Linked DNA regions of Saccharomyces cerevisiae S288C. Changing the gene in region 4 together with the main gene of any one other region gives a genetic interaction. Each region holds a gene or a part of one and is shown on either strand. Other genes may lie near its edges.

The links.
Region 1: mutations in TRF5 (region 4) and BMT5 together harm fitness more than expected from each alone (negative genetic interaction), as found in Saccharomyces cerevisiae (2 studies listed by BioGRID).
Region 2: mutations in TRF5 (region 4) and PUF4 together harm fitness more than expected from each alone (negative genetic interaction), as found in Saccharomyces cerevisiae (3 studies listed by BioGRID).
Region 3: mutations in TRF5 (region 4) and AIR1 together harm fitness more than expected from each alone (negative genetic interaction), as found in Saccharomyces cerevisiae (3 studies listed by BioGRID).

The regions. Positions count from the first base shown.
Region 1 is NC_001141.2:179,951-184,679, reverse strand, and holds BMT5 (25S rRNA (uracil2634-N3)-methyltransferase), read left to right. Parts: upstream 1-1,552; coding exon 1,553-2,563; downstream 2,564-4,729. Other genes in the region: serine/threonine protein kinase PRK1, read right to left, coding at 1-743; glucose-induced degradation complex subunit FYV10, read right to left, coding at 2,703-4,253; FMC1 (Fmc1p), read left to right, coding at 4,441-4,729. UniProt on the Saccharomyces cerevisiae protein: S-adenosyl-L-methionine-dependent methyltransferase that specifically methylates the N(3) position of uridine 2634 (m3U2634) in 25S rRNA.
Region 2 is NC_001139.9:463,616-470,396, reverse strand, and holds PUF4 (Puf4p), read right to left. Parts: upstream 4,257-6,781; coding exon 1,590-4,256; downstream 1-1,589. Other genes in the region: drug-responsive transcription factor PDR1, read left to right, coding at 1-1,305; BIL2 (Bil2p), read left to right, coding at 4,962-5,354; KAP122 (Kap122p), read right to left, coding at 5,486-6,781. UniProt on the Saccharomyces cerevisiae protein: Is not essential for haploid growth, but may affect diploid formation.
Region 3 is NC_001141.2:209,621-214,380, reverse strand, and holds AIR1 (TRAMP complex RNA-binding subunit), read left to right. Parts: upstream 1-2,375; coding exon 2,376-3,458; downstream 3,459-4,760. Other genes in the region: threonine--tRNA ligase THS1, read right to left, coding at 1-1,882. UniProt on the Saccharomyces cerevisiae protein: Component of the TRAMP (TRF4) and TRAMP5 complexes which have a poly(A) RNA polymerase activity and are involved in a post-transcriptional quality control mechanism limiting inappropriate expression of genetic information.
Region 4 is NC_001146.8:63,155-68,945, reverse strand, and holds TRF5 (non-canonical poly(A) polymerase TRF5), read right to left. Parts: upstream 2,430-5,791; coding exon 501-2,429; downstream 1-500. Other genes in the region: serine/threonine protein kinase CLA4, read right to left, coding at 1-31; TOS6 (Tos6p), read right to left, coding at 2,894-3,202; 60S ribosomal protein eL18 RPL18B, read left to right, coding at 4,384-4,495, 4,928-5,376. UniProt on the Saccharomyces cerevisiae protein: Catalytic subunit of the TRAMP5 complex which has a poly(A) RNA polymerase activity and is involved in a post-transcriptional quality control mechanism limiting inappropriate expression of genetic information.

The DNA.
Region 1 (4,729 bases), on a different chromosome or scaffold from region 4:
CTTTTTTCAAACGGCGTAGTATAGTAACATATTTTGTAAAGAAAGACACCAAGAGCCCAAATATCAGATTTTTCGTCGATAGGTAACCCTCTGTACAGGTCAATCATTTCAGGTGATCTATACTGAGCTGTAGTATTTGTTAGGATGTCGTGTTGAACATAATTAAACTCTTGAGTATTTCTAGGTGGCCTTATCACACCGGAAACGGAACCAAAATCACAAACTTTATACAAGCCATCATGAGAAATAAGTACATTCTCAATCTTAATATCTCTATGAATCAATGGCGGCTGCAGAGCGTGCATTGCAGTTATACCTTGGACGGTTTGACTCATAATTTCTAATATTTCAGATTCTTGTAATCTATTTTGTAATCTGGTGTTCATAAAATCTATAAGACCTCCACGTTCACAAAATTCCATTAACACAAACACCTCATATGCTATACCATTTACAGACCTTGCAGCATGTGAATCTATGTAAGAAACAACATGCTTATTATTTCTAAGGAGTTTCATAGCATCCACTTCAGCTCTCAAGGTATTTAAACCCTGTTTATGGGGGACAATGACTCTTTTCAAGCATGCTATGTTAGCATTGCTATATGGGTCAGGAGGGGAAATTTCGGCAGTATATACTTGTGCGAATCCACCACTCGTAAGGTATTTGATAATCTTAGCATGATGAGATCCCACAGTTAATATTGTCCCGGGTTCATACAGACTAATCTGTGGAGTATTCATTGTTTTTGGATCAGTTCAACTAAAGATAGGAGGTTACAAATAATCTTGATCAACACTTCAATCAAAAAAGATTTTTTTCGCTGAAGATAATAAACTATCCCACAATGGAAATTCAACCTGTATTAGCGAACTAACTTATGTTCAAGTGGAGCCTGTGACCTGCCTGCTTGGTGACTTTTTTAGCGTTTCCTAAATGTACTGTTCTATATTTTTCTTTTTCCAAGACCTTCGCTCTGCATACGCCTGCCTGGTTATAATTACAGTTTTTTTTAAAAACCTTTACTAAGAATAAATAGTAACAGCTAGTGCAAACTAACGACATTGACATTTACTTGATATAAAATAATTGAGAGCGATCATATATATCGGAAATCTCTATCAGTACTAATATTAAATTTACATGAAATACTTCAACAAATTCCTGGTCTCTTGGCCCAGTTGGTTAAGGCACCGTGCTAATAACGCGGGGATCAGCGGTTCGATCCCGCTAGAGACCACTTATTTTTATGACTTCTTGGAAGTCAATTTTTTTTTCCTTCTGAATCAGTAATAACAAAAGTCGTAGTTGATCTTGTTATTGGATCATGTACATCAGTATTATTAATGATTTTAGTATTTCAAGCTGGCTCCCATATTTTTCTCCTGTAGAAAGAATGTAAATTATTCGGAAAAAAAAAAAAAAAAAGAAAAGAATTGGCGATGCGATGAGCTTAAAAGAAAACCTTCCATTACTTAAATTCATTGGAGCCTGACAACGTTTAGTAACGTTAAAATCATAGATTAACACCAATCATAACCTAAAATTATCAATGGCCAGGAAATTGAAGGGTAAGATTGGGAGTAAAGGCCTAAAAGGTGCATTATTAAGGCACAAGGCCAAAGTGAAATTAGTGAGGAATATTGAAAGTAAGCAAAAACATGAACTAAGAAAGAAAAATTCGAGCGCTAATAACAAAACCGTGAAGAGAAACCAAGAATTCCAAAAACTTAATCAAGGGAAGGTTATGCCCTTTGAGAAGGATGAAACTTTGATGCTATGTGGTGAAGGAGATTTTTCTTTTGCCAGATCCATTGTTGAACAAAACTATATTGAAAGTGACAATTTAATCATAACAAGTTACGATAATTCTGTGAATGAGCTGAAATTGAAATATCCGCATACTTTTGAGGAAAATTACCAGTACTTAAAAGATCTAAATATTCCGATATTTTTCCAGATTGACGTTACGAAGCTCGTAAAGAGCTTTAAAATTTCCAAAAATAATACTTGGTTTAAAATAATCAACAGGCTTAGCGATCATCGTTGGGGTAACAAACCTTTACAAAATATAGTTTTCAATTTTCCCCATAATGGAAAAGGTATTAAGGATCAAGAAAGAAATATTAGAGAGCATCAGGACTTAATTTTTAACTTTTTCCAAAATTCCTTACAATTATTTAATCTTATAAACACGAAAATTCAAAATGATACTCTTCGTTATACGCAAGGCTATGATCTTAATGAGGATACTCCCCAGGCTAAAAAATTGACCGCCGAAGGTTATGGTAACATCATACTGTCCCTTTTCGATGGAGAGCCCTATGATTCATGGCAAATCAAACTTTTAGCCAAAAAAAATGGACTAACTCTGAGCAGATCGAGCAAATTCCAATGGGAAAATTTTCCAGGATATCATCACCGGAGAACGAATAGCGAACAAGATACTACAAAACCTGCGAAAGAACGTGATGCTAGGTTCTACATCTTTAGTAAATATGTCTCGAATAGTTCAAAACATAACCGTAAAAGCAAAAAAGACACAGATTCTGATTCAGACTAAGTACAGAAGGAAGAATGTCGCCATGTTGATGAAAGAACTTTCATTTTCCCTAATTCTTATATAGCGTAAGTATCTGTAAAATAGTTGTGAAAGTTGGACAAATCTTTATATAAAAAAATGCATATAGCTTGAAACTATTTCAGGTTGGGTACATTTTGATAGAATCTGATTCGCAAAATATTTTCATGTCAACTGGATCCATAATTTGACCTGGATTTAAAGAAATTAAGTTTTGCTTTTTCAATGTTTTGGCCAATTTCTTCAATTTTTTACTGTCGTAAACATTTCCATTTGGTAATAGTATTGGATTTTCAAATAATTGAGACTGAATGTGATGAGCAAATGGTAATGCCTGTGTTATTGGTTTGAAAGTCTCACTGCAAACGGGACAATTTTTCCTTTTTAGTGAATGTAGCGTAAAGAGTTGTAAATCTTCAACTTCTTTCTCTGCTGTTGTGGCAGTTTCCGTCTCTTGATTTCCATTTTCATCGTCAGAAGGGTGCAGGCAATCTCTTGTCTTCAAAGACGATATACCTAGTGACAGGTATATCAATAAAGGGTCATTTTGTGATATGCCATACATGGAATAAAAGTCGCTCAAGAATAAATCATTTAATACCGACCATCTTTGATCATCTAATAAATTCAGATATCTTTCGAAATCTCCACTTTGTAAATTTATTAAGGAACTCTTGTCATAGTCTGTTGTATTCACCGCAGGTTTGGAGGTAATTCTAGGTAAAGATTTGTGAAAAAAATGTTGAAATATTCGATCTTTCTTCATTGGTAAACTTTGAGACTTAATCTCTTCAGTATCGAATCCAGAGCTGGTAGAAGAAGTTGGCTTTTGATCATTACAGTATTTGATAAAAATCAGAAGTCCAGATGCTAATTTTAAATCGGTGAAGTTGCTCTTAACGAATGGTAAAAGGAATCTTTGAAAACATACTATAGCGTCGGTATAGTTATCCACCTTTAGTAGTTCAATATATTCTTGCAATCTTGCTTGAAACTCTAATATAGAGGACTTTTTGGTCAGTGTCTTTTTGTTCTCGTTTATCCATGAAATTAGGGGTAAGAGATTACGCTCATGTAGTAACGAAGTCGAAATTCTATTAGCCTCCAAGAGGACATCATAATCAATGAGATCATCCAGTTGGCTCTGTTTCAAAAACACTACGCCAGAGTTCCAATGATCCTTTGTCTCCGAGTTGTATTTAATCGGGTTATTCCTCGTCAGATAATCACCAATTAAAATGTTTGTATAACTCTGATACCACTGTATCAATTTAGTCCTGGTACCCTCATTATTTCCATTGTGCGATGTTCCTGAATTTTGTGACTTGATGTCCTTCAGTTCGTGGAAAAACTCCAGCCTTTTTTTAATTCTGTTCAAAATCTGACAGTAGGACTTGATTTGCGTATTTAAAAATCTTTCTATATGGTCAACTTTCCTAATCATTTCAGTTATTTTTGCTAGTGCCAACTCGTCGTGCTCAACGTCATTATGTTCAAATATTTGATTTAATGCGGCCGTGTGTTCATGTAGTGATTTGGTTTCCTTATTAATTACCGCTTGAGTATGCTTGATACGTTTGGACAGTAGTTCATAAGGAATATGAAATAATTGTTGATTTAATTTCAAATGGAAATCCACATCAGGCTCATTAAATATTGATTTCTCTGCCATGGCTTACCTACTTTCCTATAATTTATAATCATTTTCTCTGTTTTATGTATGAAATTGTAGATTTAACCACCCCCTTCTCTTCGCCTTTGCAAAAAGTGAATATCTCAAATTGCACTAGAGTTTCATTTGCAGCGATAAGTGGATAACAAAAAGCTGAAAAGAGAGAGAAAGAGAGAGTGCCAGGGAAATGGATAGACCAAGAACATTACGCACATATAGAGGACTCATAAGAGCCATTCTGAAATATGAAAGGCCAAGCAAGATAGTCAATTGGGGCAATCTACGAAAGGCAATGATAACAAAGTTGGAATATGCTAAGAAACAAAATCAGAGAGACTCGCATGAGAACATCAACAGACAGTTAGAGAAATGGAAAAAACTAGATCCGGTAAGCGACAGATCTTTGAATTTGTTTATAGCCGACTCTAAGTCATTACGTTCCATATTACAAAACGATATAAAGTGGGAGAAAAAGG
Region 2 (6,781 bases), on a different chromosome or scaffold from region 4:
TTCGAGGTACTCGAGATTTTTAACGAAACAGAAATGAAATATGATGCTATCAAAGAGCAAACTGGAAAATTGTTCGATATTGCATTCTCTAAAGATAGTACTGAACTCAAAGTTTCAAGAGAGGATAAGATTATGGCTTCAAAATTTGTTCTATTTTACGAGCACCATTTCTGCAGAATGGTTAACGAATCTGATAATATTGTCGCCAGATTATGCGTGCACAGAAGGCCCTCAATACTAATTGAAAACTTGAAAATATACCTTCACAAGATTTACAAATCATGGACCGATATGAACAAAATCTTATTAGACTTTGACAACGATTATTCCGTATACCGTTCGTTCGCCCATTATTCTATCAGTTGCATTATTTTGGTATCACAAGCATTCTCAGTGGCCGAATTCATTAAAGTAAATGACGTTGTGAATATGATTAGAGTCTTCAAAAGATTTTTGGATATAAAAATTTTTTCCGAAAATGAGACCAATGAGCATGTCTTCAACAGCCAAAGCTTTAAAGACTATACAAGAGCTTTTTCTTTCCTGACAATCGTCACTCGTATCATGCTTTTGGCATACGGAGAGTCCTCTAGCACCAACCTCGATGTTATCTCCAAATATATTGATGAGAATGCGCCAGATTTAAAAGGTATAATAGAACTTGTCTTGGATACAAACTCTTGCGCTTATCGATTTTTATTAGAACCTGTTCAGAAGTCAGGATTCCATTTAACGGTCTCACAAATGTTGAAAAATAGAAAGTTTCAGGAACCACTAATGTCAAATGAAGATAATAAGCAGATGAAGCATAATTCGGGAAAAAATTTGAATCCGGATCTCCCAAGTCTTAAGACGGGCACTTCATGCTTACTAAATGGCATTGAATCGCCTCAATTGCCATTCAATGGTCGCTCAGCACCTTCCCCAGTGAGAAACAACTCACTACCGGAGTTTGCACAATTGCCTTCATTTAGGTCATTATCCGTGTCTGATATGATCAATCCCGATTACGCGCAACCAACAAATGGGCAAAATAATACGCAAGTCCAATCTAATAAACCAATCAATGCTCAGCAGCAAATACCCACTTCAGTACAAGTACCATTTATGAACACAAATGAAATCAATAACAACAACAACAACAACAACAACAATAAAAACAATATTAACAATATTAACAACAACAACAGTAACAATTTTTCTGCAACTAGTTTTAATTTGGGGACACTAGATGAATTTGTTAATAACGGTGATCTTGAGGACCTCTACAGTATCCTGTGGAGCGACGTTTATCCAGATAGTTAAACGTATACGTTTGTATAGATAAAAGTTCTCAAAAACTTCCTTCCTTTTTTTTTTCTTTTGAGTTTACTTATTTAAATAAGAACATTCTGTTTTCTAGGGCATCTCCTTCTCTTATTTCTTCAACACTATTTACCAGTATACCATAAAGTGAAAATTCCTATTTTTTTTGCTTTGGATATTCATTTGATCCTCAACGAAAAAAAAAATGATGTATTTTAGTATTGTACAAAAGATATTATATGAGGCTAACGTAAAAAAAGCTAAACTGAGGATATATGTATCAACTATGAATCTAAATGTAACATTCCGATGATTCTTTTACCATGAGGTGTATTTCTTATGGGGCCCACCAGTAAAGGCGCCACAATCTCTGATAGTCTTTTATAGAGATAGTCATTTTGCTTATGAGAAATGTCTAATGCTGTCTGTAAAACGTAATTTCCGTAGCTATCATTCAACAATGATTGAATACCCGTCTCGCCACCATTATTTAAAATTTCCAGAATCATTGGCTCCGAAACAATAGCTGTCTTCAAGATTTTTTCAATCACATTTGATCCAAATTTATGGATAGAAAGTTCGATGGCTCTTGGTTTCAACAGGTGGACAATTTTATGCGTATAATCATATTTGTTCTTCTCAGCCTCTTTGGTAATTATATATTGCACCACATAGTTGCCAAATGGATCCAAAGTTAATTTATCAACAAGGGCTAGCAACTTATCACACAGATTGTCACATTGTTCTGTAGTCCCATGATCTAGACAACGTTGCAAAACGCAACACCCGTGTCTATGAGTAGCAATATCAATACAGCTATCAGAGATTGCGTCAAAGATAAACTGGAAGTTTTCAGGCTTCAACCTTTGCAAACATTTTTGAATAACATGATTACCATTTAAATCCTTACTCAACTGGACAGTATAAGGGCGTAAAGAATCAACAACAATCTGTGCTTCTTCATCTGTTTTGATGCATTCAATGAGTTTTTGTAATGCCCTAGTACCATGAGGGTTTAAGGAAATTTCGACAAAATGAGGGGAAGATATTTTTGTGAGTACGATTCTTTGTTCTGTGGTAACCTCTTCCAATAGCTTCTGGATCAAATAATTACCGAATGAATCAGTCATCAATTCAACCGTATAATCCTTAGTTTCTTCAAAAATTGCGTCCGCCGCCTTACTGCCGAGAATATCCAACTGCTTTTGCAGAAAACGACAACCATGTTGGTCTTTACACAATGAGTGAATACTTCCGATATATTGGTCTAAAACTGCGTCCGCAAATCTCGACGACTCCTCAATTTTACGTTGTTTTTCCGCGCTGTTGCTGTTGGTAGCATTACTGTTATTATTATTATTGTTATTATTATTATTATTATTATTGTTATTATAGTAGCCATGATAACTGTTTTTCATATTTTTCATTTTACCAACGTTAGAACGACCTGTGTCTTTATTGTTGTAATTAGAATTACCAATGTTGTCATTGTCATTATGACTTGACATGCTATTGTTATTACGACCATGATGTTTATTATTGGCGCTATTCATTAACGGCATATGATTTTGAGCCAACAAATGAGGCGGAACCATTGCGTTGAAGGGAGGTGGAGTGCTATAAAGCCAGGGAGGAGGGGGGGTGTTTTGCTGGGGAGGTAATATGTGGAAAGGTTGCATTGATGGCCCAAGATTAGGATTTATTAAATCCATCCTAACATTTGGACCCGCCTTGTCGTTATCGGTGGTGGGCTTACCACCATCATTCTTCATATCTGAAAAGGCAACAGAATTTGAACTAGGGTTTAAAACTGGTGCAAGATGAATTGGCGATTGGGTTAGAGGAATTGGAGAATTTGCATTTAGTGAATGACTCGTAGGATTTAAAATCGGAGAGAAAGGTTGAAATTGCGCGCCCATTTCATAAGAATTAGGAAAAGGTGATCTAATACCATAGATAGGGGAGGATATATTATGTGGGTGGCCTGGCATAATAGGATTTGGTTGAAGTAAAGGTCCCCCATATGGATATGCTGCACCATAAGTTGTAGGACTCTCTTTTTTAGCTGGTGCAGTTTTATTAATCAAATCCTCCTTCGAGGTTTCTATTTTGAAATCGGATAATTTCTCAGAAACACTATTGGTTGGGGGTATAAATGACGTTGAGGAGGGAGTATTATCAAAAGATATGGATTGAGTTCTGGTTTTTGCAGTATTGTTAGCTCCTACAGACGGTTTCTTAGCCTTAGAAAAATTCTGCATGTCAGATTGGAAGTCCTTTGACAAGGTTACATTGTTGGCCGCATTGATAAGGTCAGTTGGTGATAAAGCATGAAAAGTTTGTCTTCTGAACGAACTAGCCTTATTATTAGACTCCCTGCCCTTAGATGGTAGGCTTTCTTGTAGAGTAGCGGTGGTTTCTTCAATGGCTACAGATGCTGATCCTGGTACGTTTGAATGAGTCCATAACGGATCAGCCGATGCGATTGGCAATACCTTCATTGAATTGTCATTTATCAATGGGTTTAGATTTTGTCCACCTTGAGTTGCTACCGCAGCACCCGAAGACAGCATTTGAAATGGAAGTGAGTCATTCTTGAATAACATTGGTGGACCGCCTGCATTCAAGGGCGAGCTACTCAATGGTGCTGTTGGATCATTAAAATCAGGGGGCGGAAAAAATGGACAAGGATTATGAGGAACCTGCATCATTTGAGAGTAGGGCATGAAGCCCATTCCACCCATCATTTGTGGATGTGGAAACATTTGCGACGGAGGGCCATTAGCGAATTGAGAATCTTGAGAAACTTTATTCGCAAATGCATTAGAGGTGGCGTTTTCCTCTGGATCATCTAGTTGCAACTGCTCTAAAGCAGAATTGACTGTTTCTGAAACGACAGGGTCTACTGATGGTACATCATCGATTTCTTCTTTCAAACCTTTTGTAGACATAACGTAGGTCCACTTAAAAATGTTACAGCGCTTAGTTCTCTCTTTCTTAAAAGATATCGAGGACAAAGAAACAGTAAGAACGGAAAATGAACAGAGACTCTTAAAAGAACCTAAAGAATAAGCGAAAATAAAATATGAAAAGAGAACTAGTGGACAATATCAACAGGAATTTTAAGTGTACTAAAAATAAATCGTCTGGAATAGTGTACAAAAACGAATAATATTAATGACGGCTCAAATCCTAACGTTGGAAACTAAAATACAATAAAAATAATGTACAATGTAATATACGGAAGAAAGTTTTTTTTCTGTTTCAACAAAAAAAAAAACTATTCAAAAAAAAGACGTGAGGTACTGTTTGCTGTTCACCTTCGGAGAGAGATAACCAACCGATATTCTCTTTGAGTCTGAGTGATTTGTTAAACAAGGTGCAACGAATAAGAATATAACTATACTATCTACTATATTGATCATTATTTTTTATTCTCTGGAGGACCCCAGAACAAAAAAAATATAGAAAAAAAACAATCGTCAAGAGTGACAAATACATGAGTAATAAGAAAAGGCGTCACAAATTAAAATTTGCAGTCACAAAGAGAAATAGACAGAGAATAGACTGTCTGGAATTAAGATGTCTTTTCTATCTGAGCTCCCAACAAGGCAACGGTATTGGACAGATATAATTCACAAATCACAATTCACTCCATGGAAGACACGATACGTCCATTAAATTACGCAGATATCGAGACCAGCGGGCCCATAAACCTTCTTGAGACAACTAATAACCTAAAAAGCTCGTTAAAAAAGTTTTCACAAAAGGCAAAGGGATCACACATTTCCAGAGAAAGGATTCACCATTTTAGAAAATGGAAAAATAAGACCGAATCACTTTCAGAAAACCATTTGAAGCCTCCTCCTGACGTCGACTCTCTATGTTTCAGTAACTGCTTTCAACCTGACGCCCTGTCTGGAAATGTATTTTTACCCCCCAGAAGCTCAAACATGTATTGGAATGAAAAGCAATTACAATTAGAAATGGAAATTCTAAAATTTTTATCACTAAATACTAGCAATGAATGCTGCACTTCTGATGATTAGCTTTTACACACATATATACTGCTACTATCTTTAAAGCACAAAAAAAAAATCTATCAAAAAGGATCAACGCATTACTAAATAAAATGTAACAAAGAATAGCCTTCACCCTCAGCGGAGAAATTCTTAACAAATCATCCTTGGTAATTTGGAAGTGTGGTACAATCCAACCACCACTGCAAAATAACATTTCCAGCTGCTCTGCTTCCTCTCGTAATAAGTAATTTATTAATAAATTTTTCATGACCTGCAGGATTGTTACATATTTGGGGCAAAACAGCAACGAGCCACTCTCTTGCTTCAATTGGAAACTTGGCTACCAAAGCTCTTAGCAGATCTGTGTAACTATTCAGATCGGACCTTTGTGTGTGGAATAAGCCATACATAATTTGGTACACAAGGTCTCCTCCTATAGAGGAAACTTGTTGCCTAACAGTTGTGAGTTCTTCTTGGTTGTATTTCTTATTATTGATCAACTTAGTCCAAAATTTTGCCACCGCAACAATTGTGAACTTTTCTCTTGAAGGTATTAATTTTAAAAATTGAGGTAAAATAAATGATGTCCAATGTTTACTGCCAATAGCTAAGCCTGGCTTCACGTCCAAAACGTTATTAACAAAACCTATTGTCATTTGTAAAAGGTCCGGATCATTGATAATATATGCATCATAATAGACTAGAAGGATCTTTTCAAACATGAAATCAAATTCTTGTGGTGTTAGTTCCTTCCTGAACTCTGAAATAAGCTTTTCTAATAAATAAACAAAATAAGGCAAGCAAGTAGCAAGCTCACAGTTGGGGACATGCCGCAAAACAAAATTCATAACTTCAGACATATTGTACTTGAGGAAGTACGGTTCCCCGTCGGGCAGATTTAATCCTTTACCAACAATCAAACAACCGATCTCCACAAAGGCGGAGTTTTTACAATATATTGAATTATCCAAGACCTTATCAATGGTGCACATAATTTTCGATCGGATTTGTAAGGGATCGCTGGACCAGAAACTTTGAAACTCAGATAACCTTTGTAGTAATGCATCATTTTCGATGATTTCAGTAGGTTGGATCAAACTTGTTGCTAGCTCAGATATACAGTATAATAGACAATTAATATAATCTTGTTGTTCTTGTAACTGTACCGATGAAGCCAAACAATGCTCTATTGAGCCGCTCAATAGGTTCGTCAATTGTAAAATATATTTAGCTTGCTCCTCTGGACCGTTGGAGACTTGACATTGAACGACATAACCTATAGATCTAACCAATTTAGTTCTAGTGAAATGTGAAACATTGGAGTCTGGCATAATGACTGTGTTTAAAAAGCTTATAAAATGCATCAAATATGGAGTCAACTCCTCACGGCATGTCTCACATAATGTTGAAACAGTCTTGATAACCATAACTTCAAGTTTATCGTTCGAAATTTT
Region 3 (4,760 bases), on a different chromosome or scaffold from region 4:
GTGGTGATAACCAAAATGGCCATTTACCAGCAAAATGCTCGGTCAAAATGGCAGTCATTCTTTCAACAGACCCTAAAATGGCACGATGGATCATGACCGGTCTTTCGTAACTCTCGCTATCTTGATCTTTAGATTTAAATTCCAATTCGAACCTGTTTGGCAATTGGAAATCTAATTGGATGGTGGCACATTGATGCCATCTTCTTAAAGCGTCAGAAATCATAATGTCAATCTTTGGACCGTAGAAAGCACCATCACCAGCATTGATCTCCCAGTTACCACCCCATTTCTTTAAGGCAGATTCTAATTTTGATTCAGCGGCATCCCAGGTTTCGATCTTTCCAACGTACTTTTCTGGTCTAGTGGACAATTCCATCTTAAATTCAAATCCAAAAACGCCGTAAATGTATTGCAAAAAGTTGAAAATATTTTCAATTTCAGACTCAATTTGGTCATGGGTACAGAAGATATGAGCATCATCTTGTTGGAATCTTCTGACACGAGTCAAACCAGACAAGGCACCAGAAAATTCATTTCTGTGGATAACACCGAAGTCTGCAACTCTCCATGGCAATTCTCTATAAGAACGTTCTCTAGACTTGAACATCAAACAATGACCTGGACAGTTCATTGGTTTTAGACCGAAAGTTTCCTTCTCTACTTCGAAAGTAAACATGTTTTCCTTGTAATTGGCCCAGTGACCTGAGGTTTCCCACAATTTGGAGTTGTACATGTTTGGAGTGATGACTTCTTCGTAACCTCTCTTACGGTATTCGGTTCTCAACAAGTCAACCAAAGTGTTGTAAATTCTAGTACCATGAGGTAACCAAAAGCAAGAACCTGGGGACATTTCATTGAATAAGAATAATTCTTGTTCTTTACCAATCTTTCTGTGATCTCTCATAGAGGCTTCCGCCAAGAACTTCAAATGAGCATCCATTAATTTTTTGTCTGGAAAAGAGATACCGTAAACTCTTTGTAAAGAGTCGTTTGTCGCATCACCTAAGAAATAACAAGAAGAGTTCTTTAATAGTTTGAAAGCTTTGATACGCCCAGTATGTGGGATATGAGGGCCGACACATAGATCAATCAATTTACCGCAACGGTAGACGGTAGTAGCACCTCCATCTGGAACCTTTGTCTGTACCAAGTAAGTCTTATACTTCGAATAATGAAACATTTTCAAAAGATCTTCTTTGGACATGACCAATCTTTCAAATTTTTGCTTTTGCTTGATAACATTCTTGGCAACGCCTTCCAATCCTGGGAAATCAGCTTGGGAGACGGTTCTTTCTGGAGATTCAGATATATCTTTCATACTATCTCTAACAGCCATTTCATAAAAGAACCCATCATCAGTTGGAGGACCTAAACAAATATGGGCACCTAGGTGGCACTCACAAGATTCACCCAAGACGTGGGCAGACGAATGCCAAAAGACCTTCTTACCTTCGTCAGATTCGAAATCTAGCAGTTCTAATTTGATTTCTTCGTTGGCTTCGCCTTCAAATGGTCTATCTAAGTCCCATAATTGACCATTAACCTTAGAAATACATAACCTGTCTGCTAAAGATTTAGAAATTCCTTTGGCAATATCCATCGGAGTGGTTTCCCAAGAAGTGGCTTCCTTAACGGCTCCATCCTTCAAGACAATCTTCAATGGAACACGTGGCATAGAAGCAACTTTATCATTGTATTCCTTTTGTAATCTGTCAAACATTTCAATTCTTTCCTCGATGAAAGTTGGTTCAGGATCCAAGTACAAGGACTGTTGCTTGGATTTTTTGTTTTCTTTCTTATTTGGTTTTACGGCATCATTACTACTATCCTTGACAGACAGCTTTTTGACTTGCTCAGTGACACCTGCTTCACTAGCACTCATCTCCGTTTTATTTTCTTGCTCTGTTAGCTGTTAATTTTTCGTTAACCTGTAATCTTTCAGATGACACATCATTTAATGCACGATTTATCTAACTTTCTTTTGTTGCCATCGCAAGTATTTTTTTCAAGTGAAAATTCCTCGAAAAAAATTTTTTAGCAAGATAGCCGTATATGATGATTTATACATATCACAAGGTAAGAGTCATTTAAACAGTAAAAAGAAAGCGTTTGCGTCAGCATATACAATGGCACATCTGTAAATTCATTTATATATTATATGAAAATGTGACTTCAATATTTCTAAAGTGACTTCCATAGGCGCTTGTCCTTTGTCTTTGTTTCTTGCTACTGTTAAAGCTCATTGACAGGCTTTTCAATTTCTTGGTCCATGAAAAAATGAAAAATTACTAAAAATTAGCGATGCGATGAGTGGGAAAGGTCCAACATTCTCACATGAGGAATACAAAGGAAGCGGACCACGGAGCTAAGATATTATGTCGACATTGTTATCTGAGGTAGAAAGTATCGATACTTTGCCGTATGTGAAGGATACAACACCGACAGGAAGTGACTCGTCATCATTTAATAAATTATTGGCTCCTTCCATAGAGGATGTAGATGCTAACCCAGAGGAACTGAGGACTTTACGTGGCCAAGGACGGTATTTTGGAATAACAGATTATGACTCAAACGGTGCGATAATGGAGGCAGAGCCAAAGTGTAATAATTGTTCGCAAAGAGGTCATTTGAAAAGGAATTGTCCCCATGTGATATGTACTTACTGCGGGTTTATGGATGATCATTACTCACAACACTGCCCTAAGGCTATTATTTGCACTAATTGTAATGCAAACGGCCATTATAAATCACAGTGTCCTCATAAATGGAAGAAGGTGTTCTGCACGCTTTGCAATAGCAAAAGACACTCAAGAGAAAGATGTCCTAGTATTTGGAGATCTTATTTATTAAAAACAAAAGATGCTAACCAAGGTGACTTCGATTTTCAAACAGTTTTCTGTTATAACTGTGGGAATGCCGGTCATTTTGGCGATGACTGTGCTGAAAGAAGGTCATCGAGAGTGCCGAACACTGATGGAAGTGCATTTTGCGGTGATAACTTAGCCACAAAATTTAAACAACACTATTTTAACCAATTGAAAGACTATAAACGTGAAGCTTCACAAAGGCAACACTTTGATAACGAACATGAATTCAACCTGCTTGACTATGAATATAACGACGATGCATACGACCTCCCTGGCTCAAGGACTTATAGAGATAAAATGAAATGGAAGGGCAAAGTGCAGTCAACAAGGAACAAAAATAGTAGCAATAATAGATATGAAAGCAGTAATAACAGGAAGAAGAAGTCACCATTTAGCGCACAGAACTACAAAGTGACGAAAAATAAAAGAGTTCAGACACACCCCTTAGATTTCCCCAGAAGTAGCCAAAACAACAGAACGAACGATTATTCGAGCCAGTTCAGCTATAATAGGGACGACTTCCCCAAGGGTCCTAAGAATAAGAGGGGCCGATCATCTTCTAACAAAAGCCAAAGAAATGGCCGTTATTGAGATTATATGTGAGTTTTTTTAATTTTTTTTCCATTCTCATTGCAGCAAACATATATATGTTTATTTTATAGGGATTTTTTGTATCGATAGAGCAGTACAAAGCAAAAAAAAAGTACATTGTTGGAGTCTCGTATTTCTTACTTACTGTCTTAGCAGTAGTAGAAGAGATTTGTACAAAAAAATATGGTCTCTAGCGGGATCGAACCGCTGATCCCCGCGTTATTAGCACGGTGCCTTAACCAACTGGGCCAAGAGACCAGATATTTCATATGTTCTGTTGTATTACGGGCTCGAGTAATACCGGAGTGTCTTGACAATCCTAATATAAACAGTCTTAGGGAAGTAACCAGTTGTCAAAACAGTTTATCAGATTAATTCACGGAATGTTACTTATCTTATATATTATATAAAATATGAATCATACTAAGTGGTGGAAGCGCGGAATCTCGGATCTAAACTAATTGTTCAGGCATTTATACTTTGGGTAGTTCAGCTAGGGAAGGTCGGGTTTTGTCTCATGTTGTTCGTTTTGTTATAAGGTTGTTTCATATGTGTTTTATGAACGTTCAGGGTGACGTATTGTCATACTGACATATCTCATTTTGAGATACAACATCTTCCTCTCTCTCAGGGTTGTCTTGTGTTTCGTAGAGTTGTCTAAAGTTGGCTAATATTGATCTTCGTGTTCTTTCGGGAATTTGGCAAAATTCAGCTTCTGAGTATTCTACTGAAAGTGTTGGGTCTACGTCTTGCATGTGACATAAGTAAGTTTTGTGTGTAGTATCTATTCCTATGAGTGCAGTAACTTCGTGTGCTCTCTTAATTCTCTCAGTGGAGCTGATTGGTTTATTCTTTGGGTACGCGTCTGGACGGTATACAAACTTTTCAGGAATTGTACATTAATAACTCTGTGCTTTTTCTTGTGAGAGTTTAAATCTAGTTCGTAGGCGTTATCGTTTATTTTCTTAACAACTCGAAATGGTCCGACGTATATTTGTTGTACTTTCATATAAGCACCTTTCTTGAAGTATGCATCTCTATGCACTAATACGTGATCTCCTATGTTTAACAATAAGGGTTTACGTCTTTGATTGTTATTAGTTTCCATTTCGATTTGAGCGTGTTCTAGCTGTTCCTTCGTTTGGATGGTAAGGGCTTTGAGGTGTTTGGCAAGTTCTACGGCAGTAAAACTTCTTGCGTTGACTTCGTCATCTGACTTAATAGCAGGGGTATTCGGTAAATATCCTAAATCAATTTCAAATGGTGATTTTCCAAGTGTTCTAGTAGGTGTAGAGTTGTAAA
Region 4 (5,791 bases):
ATATCTTATTCGCTGCAGCTGAAAGAGACATATTTTGCACTATTTCTTTTATGTTTCAGTTTCACTGTTCGATTTATTACACCAAAGAAACCACCAGGAATGAATGATAGCAAAAGATGCAATGGTTTTCAGTAGCGCAGTACGTTCGATCGAAATAAAGGACTTAAGGTTTTGATCTTATTAGCAGCAGAAGCAAATAACTGGCAACGCTAATACATGTACAAGGCTCAGGCTAGAAGGTTCTTTCAAATTATGTGTCTCGAATCAGACTCTCCTGCACGTTCCATACTATGTTTCTATCATGCCAGAGATGAAAAATTTCGTCATCTTACCGGCTCGAGAAAATTTCCATATCGGGAAACTATCCTTTTTTGGTGGCTCTATATTTCCGGAAAGGGAAAATACCCACGCGTTTGATATCATTAGCTTATTGTTTCACTTGGACATCGATGTGGTATTCTTGTATAAATAGTAAATAGTCTATAAGAGTCTATATTGTGTTAAAGAGCCTGGCCTTTAGAGAGCCAGTAGTCCCTTCTCGTTTGAGCATCTACTGTCTTAGTTTCCAGTGGTGATTTCTCATCTTGTCCCGAAGGGGTATCTCTTCCTTTTTGATCTTGATCGGATTCTTGATCATTCTCAGAAAGTCCCATCAAGTCATCTATGCTGAGGTTGTTTTGGTGTAGGAGAGAGCCCTGATCAGTTTTTTTCACTTTGCGTTTCAATTTGCTTCTGCTCACTCCAAAATCCGGAGGTGGAGATGGAATGGCACTCTTTTTGATTTCCCCTTCTCTCTTATCCTTTTTTGCCTTCTGTTTCTTCTTTGCAGGTTCGTCAAGTTTGTAGATCTCCTCTACTGGCAAGTCTTCGGTGTCGTTTATAAATAAATCTTCTTGAACTATCCTCGTGCGCCTCTTGTGGTAGCGCTCGTTTTCAATGATGGCTTTATTCTGCACTAAATCTCTTTCGTCGTTGAAATCTCTCTTTTGCCCACGGTATTTGATCACGTTTCCGAGTATACTTTTTCCAACGCGGTCTTTGAATGTAGCAGAATTCAATTCCCAGCATTTATTGACCAACAGTTCGAAGGCACCAGCAAAGGCCTTTTTTATATCCTTCATATTAAAGGAGCCTCTGCTTATATTATTGTTAGGATCACCAGGATCTTGAATAGCTAGCGAGAATTTACTCCTTGAAGGTTCCAAAGTTCTCCAACACGATTTAGGAATATAAGAGGCGTAACCATCAGATATGCTTATAGCAACGTCATCATAACCAAAATTTTTTCCGTAAAGTTCGAAGAAGTCAATCAGTAGAACACCCAGGTTATCTAGAACGTCGATATCGTTTGATTTTATTCGCGGATGCATATTTAAAAAAGAATAAACCAAACAGATTACTGTGAAACCTCCCAATCCTCCTGTGTGCACATTGTTCAATCGTCTTGAATGCAAAAATTGTTTTATTATCAGTACCAGTTCACGTAACCCTGGAGAGTCTCTTAGCCATTCCCTGATGAGTTTTGCAGCCTCTAACCCGTTCGTTCTTTCAAATGAAACGTCGATATGTAACTGTGATTGGGGCTCTATGAATTTGATAATAGGCACTCGCGTTTTAACAATAACCTCCATTCTTATAGCTAGCCCTTTGTTTTTCAAATGTCTCGCCAATTCATAAATGTAATTTCTGTCCTCTTTATCGCGATTCCGGCTGTTTACGACACAGTCAATGTCAGAACCCGGCAAATATAAATCGGTGGCAAAAGAACCAAACACATGCAAATCTGCATCCGACCACAGTTCCTTGACCGCCCGGCGTAGTTTATCGATCGTTCTATTTCTGCACTTGATTTCGTTCTTGCTTGGAGAGATATAATGAACGAAATCTTTGATTTCTGAAGTTAGCCAATCTGCTATTCTCCTTTGTTTCGAATGACAATGATTTCTTATCCAAGGATACTCCACATTGCAAGCGCTTTCAGTGTTCAGAGATTGCTGTGAAGTAAGCTTAGAAACTTCATGTTCATCGGTCAACAGAAAACTGCTTCTTTCATCATCATCTTCCTTTATTTGTTCTGTTTCATCTTCAGAGCTGTCCGAAAAAGCAATAAAATCTTGATTATCTTCGAGAGAATTGTTTCTTTTGCTAGATTCTGCCCTTTGTTCATCTTCACTTGATGTGACTTCTTCTATTACAGGTATGTCGACATCACTTTTATCATTTTCCATTAAGACTAGGTTTCCGAAAGTGTCATCGTCTTCAACGTCGATAGCGAGGCTCTCGTACTTGTTAAAATGCGAGCGATTATCGTTAAATACTTCAAGCATTTTTTGCGTTCTTGTGAAGGATGATTTACGCATACGTTTTGTATGTTTATCTTCTTTTCTTTTACCTTTTGTAGGTGAATATTTTGCTTTGAGCCTTGTCATGACGACCCAATAAACTCCGCCCTCGTTTGTTTATTTGAAAAATAAAAAATGATACGCTAGTGAAACGAACCAGCTTAACCTTGTGAACTGTTATTACAGATGTTTGCTTTCATCAAGTATCGCTTTATTACCTTTTTACAACTTTTTTTTTTTTAACTGCGATGAGATGAGATGCCTGGAAATTTGCGGGGGGTAACCACAAGAAAATAAATGTAACATATCGTTGAATTAGTATGTAGTTATGAGTTTATACAATGGTCTAGTAAGGTGCCTTCTGCGTCCTTATCGAAAGGAACTTTAGGAGAATGAAGCAGACGTTCCTTTATTAAGTATGACCAAGGAGTCCTTGCTTCGAAGCTAGCGAATCTGGTAACTGAGGGAAAATACATATCATGTAGATAAAAAAATGTGAAATTAATGAAATGAAGCGGAATATCCTTCCTAGTTTAAGTTGTCCATGCAACTTATAACAAAGCAAAGGCAGCAGCACCCATGATGGCACCCATACCCGCAACGGAGCCTTTAACGGCAGCGCCGACGTATGTGCTGATCTCATGGGTGGTGGTGTTAGCTTGGCTACTGATAGATTTAGTGGATAGAGTGGCAATGGTACTTGTAGTGTATGGAGTGGAAGTAGTTTTCACGGTGGAGACCATAGATGTAGTACTTTGTGGGGTGGTGGTAACATCTACGTAAGTGACACCATCAGAGGTGGAATCTGCGGAAGCAAATGCGGCAATGGCAGCAACGGTGGAGAGAGTAGAGAATTTCATTGTATTTTGATATTGATATTAAAGGAAGGTAAAAAGTTGGTTTAAAATTAGCCGAAGGCAGGGATAAGGAAGGAATGCAGTTGGTTTTCTATGGACTACTCTTTTAAATGATATATGTACCAATAAAGATGGAGTAGGCGTAATAACAAAGTTTCAAGGCCATATATAGCGCCTTATATATACACATGCATGTATTTATCACGAATTTTATTTTCCTCGAGAATCACCACCGTTCATTACAAGACTATACCAGAAGACGCCAAAATCAGACAGAATTGATCTGGCGGTGCCTTATTCGGAAGTACAAGATCAGTATCAATGTAGTGACTCTGCTACATTTCGTGTCAGGATCTTCACCTTTTGGCGACTGCTAATGGCTATATATACCGTCATTTTCGCGTCACTTCTTTGTGCTTCCTGCTTTTTCGTGACGCGCGGTTTTGAAAACATAGACAAGTTTTTGGCGTCGTTGTTAATTTCGAAGAGGATGTCCAATATTTTTTTTAAGGAATAAGGATACTTCAAGACTAGATTCCCCCCTGCATTCCCATCAGAACCGTAAACCTTGGCGCTTTCCTTGGGAAGTATTCAAGAAGTGCCTTGTCCGGTTTCTGTGGCTCACAAACCAGCGCGCCCGATATGGCTTTCTTTTCACTTATGAATGTACCAGTACGGGACAATTAGAACGCTCCTGTAACAATCTCTTTGCAAATGTGGGGTTACATTCTAACCATGTCACACTGCTGACGAAATTCAAAGTAAAAAAAAATGGGACCACGTCTTGAGAACGATAGATTTTCTTTATTTTACATTGAACAGTCGTTGTCTCAGCGCGCTTTATGTTTTCATTCATACTTCATATTATAAAATAACAAAAGAAGAATTTCATATTCACGCCCAAGAAATCAGGCTGCTTTCCAAATGCAATTGACACTTCATTAGCCATCACACAAAACTCTTTCTTGCTGGAGCTTCTTTTAAAAAAGACCTCAGTACACCAAACACGTTACCCGACCTCGTTATTTTACGACAACTATGATAAAATTCTGAAGAAAAAATAAAAAAATTTTCATACTTCTTGCTTTTATTTAAACCATTGAATGATTTCTTTTGAACAAAACTACCTGTTTCACCAAAGGAAATAGAAAGAAAAAATCAATTAGAAGAAAACAAAAAACAAAATGGGTATTGATCACACTTCCAAGCAACACAAAAGATCCGGTCATAGAACCGCTCCAAAATCCGATAACGTCTATTTGAAATTATTGGTCAAACTATACACTTTCCTAGCTCGTATGTATTGAAATCTCCCTCCCAATTTTCTTCAGGATAAAAGGATTCTGTGATATTATTAACTTCTAGTCCCGGCGATCTTCTAATGGCTTCAGTCTTAGTATCGTTGCGTGCGACGGATCTCTTAGACAAAAGTGGAATTTGTTCTCTTTTGTGTTAAAGATTTCCACTAGAACAGAAAGCGGTAGTTTTCTGGAAATTCTGCGAGTACTAAAGGAAGTACAATACGACCTTCAAGTGCGGACCAACTATTAACTGAGCAGAATCTTTTTTCTTCAAAGAGAAAAACAAATTGGTACTTTTTCGTTTTGCACTCTTTTTGGCTTCAATTAATGGAAGAAATTAAAAGCTGCCTATCGAGAATACCAACAAATCCTTTATCCCTTTACTAACATAACGTAAAAACTTTTGTTTTTCTTGTCTTAATCACAGGTCGTACTGATGCTCCATTCAACAAGGTTGTTTTGAAGGCTTTGTTCTTGTCTAAGATCAACAGACCACCTGTTTCAGTCTCCAGAATTGCTAGAGCTTTGAAGCAAGAAGGTGCTGCCAACAAGACTGTTGTCGTTGTTGGTACCGTTACTGACGATGCCAGGATCTTCGAATTCCCAAAGACCACTGTTGCTGCTTTGAGATTCACTGCTGGTGCCAGAGCCAAGATCGTTAAGGCTGGCGGTGAATGTATCACTTTAGATCAATTAGCTGTCAGAGCTCCTAAGGGTCAAAACACTTTGATCTTGAGAGGTCCAAGAAACTCCAGAGAAGCGGTCAGACACTTCGGTATGGGTCCACACAAGGGTAAGGCTCCAAGAATCTTGTCCACCGGTAGAAAGTTCGAAAGAGCTAGAGGTAGAAGAAGATCTAAGGGTTTCAAGGTGTAATCTAGTATGGTTTGAAACCTTACAATTTTTCTTCTTTGTTCCTTTTTCCTTGTTTCAGTGTATATTAGGTTGGGAAAGAGGGATTTTTCCATACCATATGACTGACTACAATATATACATGTATAATAACTTCATAATCTAAACCTATCAGTTCAGTATCAAGTCAGCTATTCCGCCCTATGCATAAACCTACAAACTATCATTCACACACTTTTCCCATTTTTTTTCAATACTACTTTACATCCGAACATTTTAGCAACCCACACCATATACCTTTGGTGCACTATTGATTTTCTTCCTGATGTCAGCTTTTTGTGCTTTGACAAAAAAATCGCGTCTACGTCCGTCCGTTCTCCCTGAATAAATTAGGCGCGTTTGAGCCCAGCAGGACGGAGCTCTAGTGACAAGCCCTGGT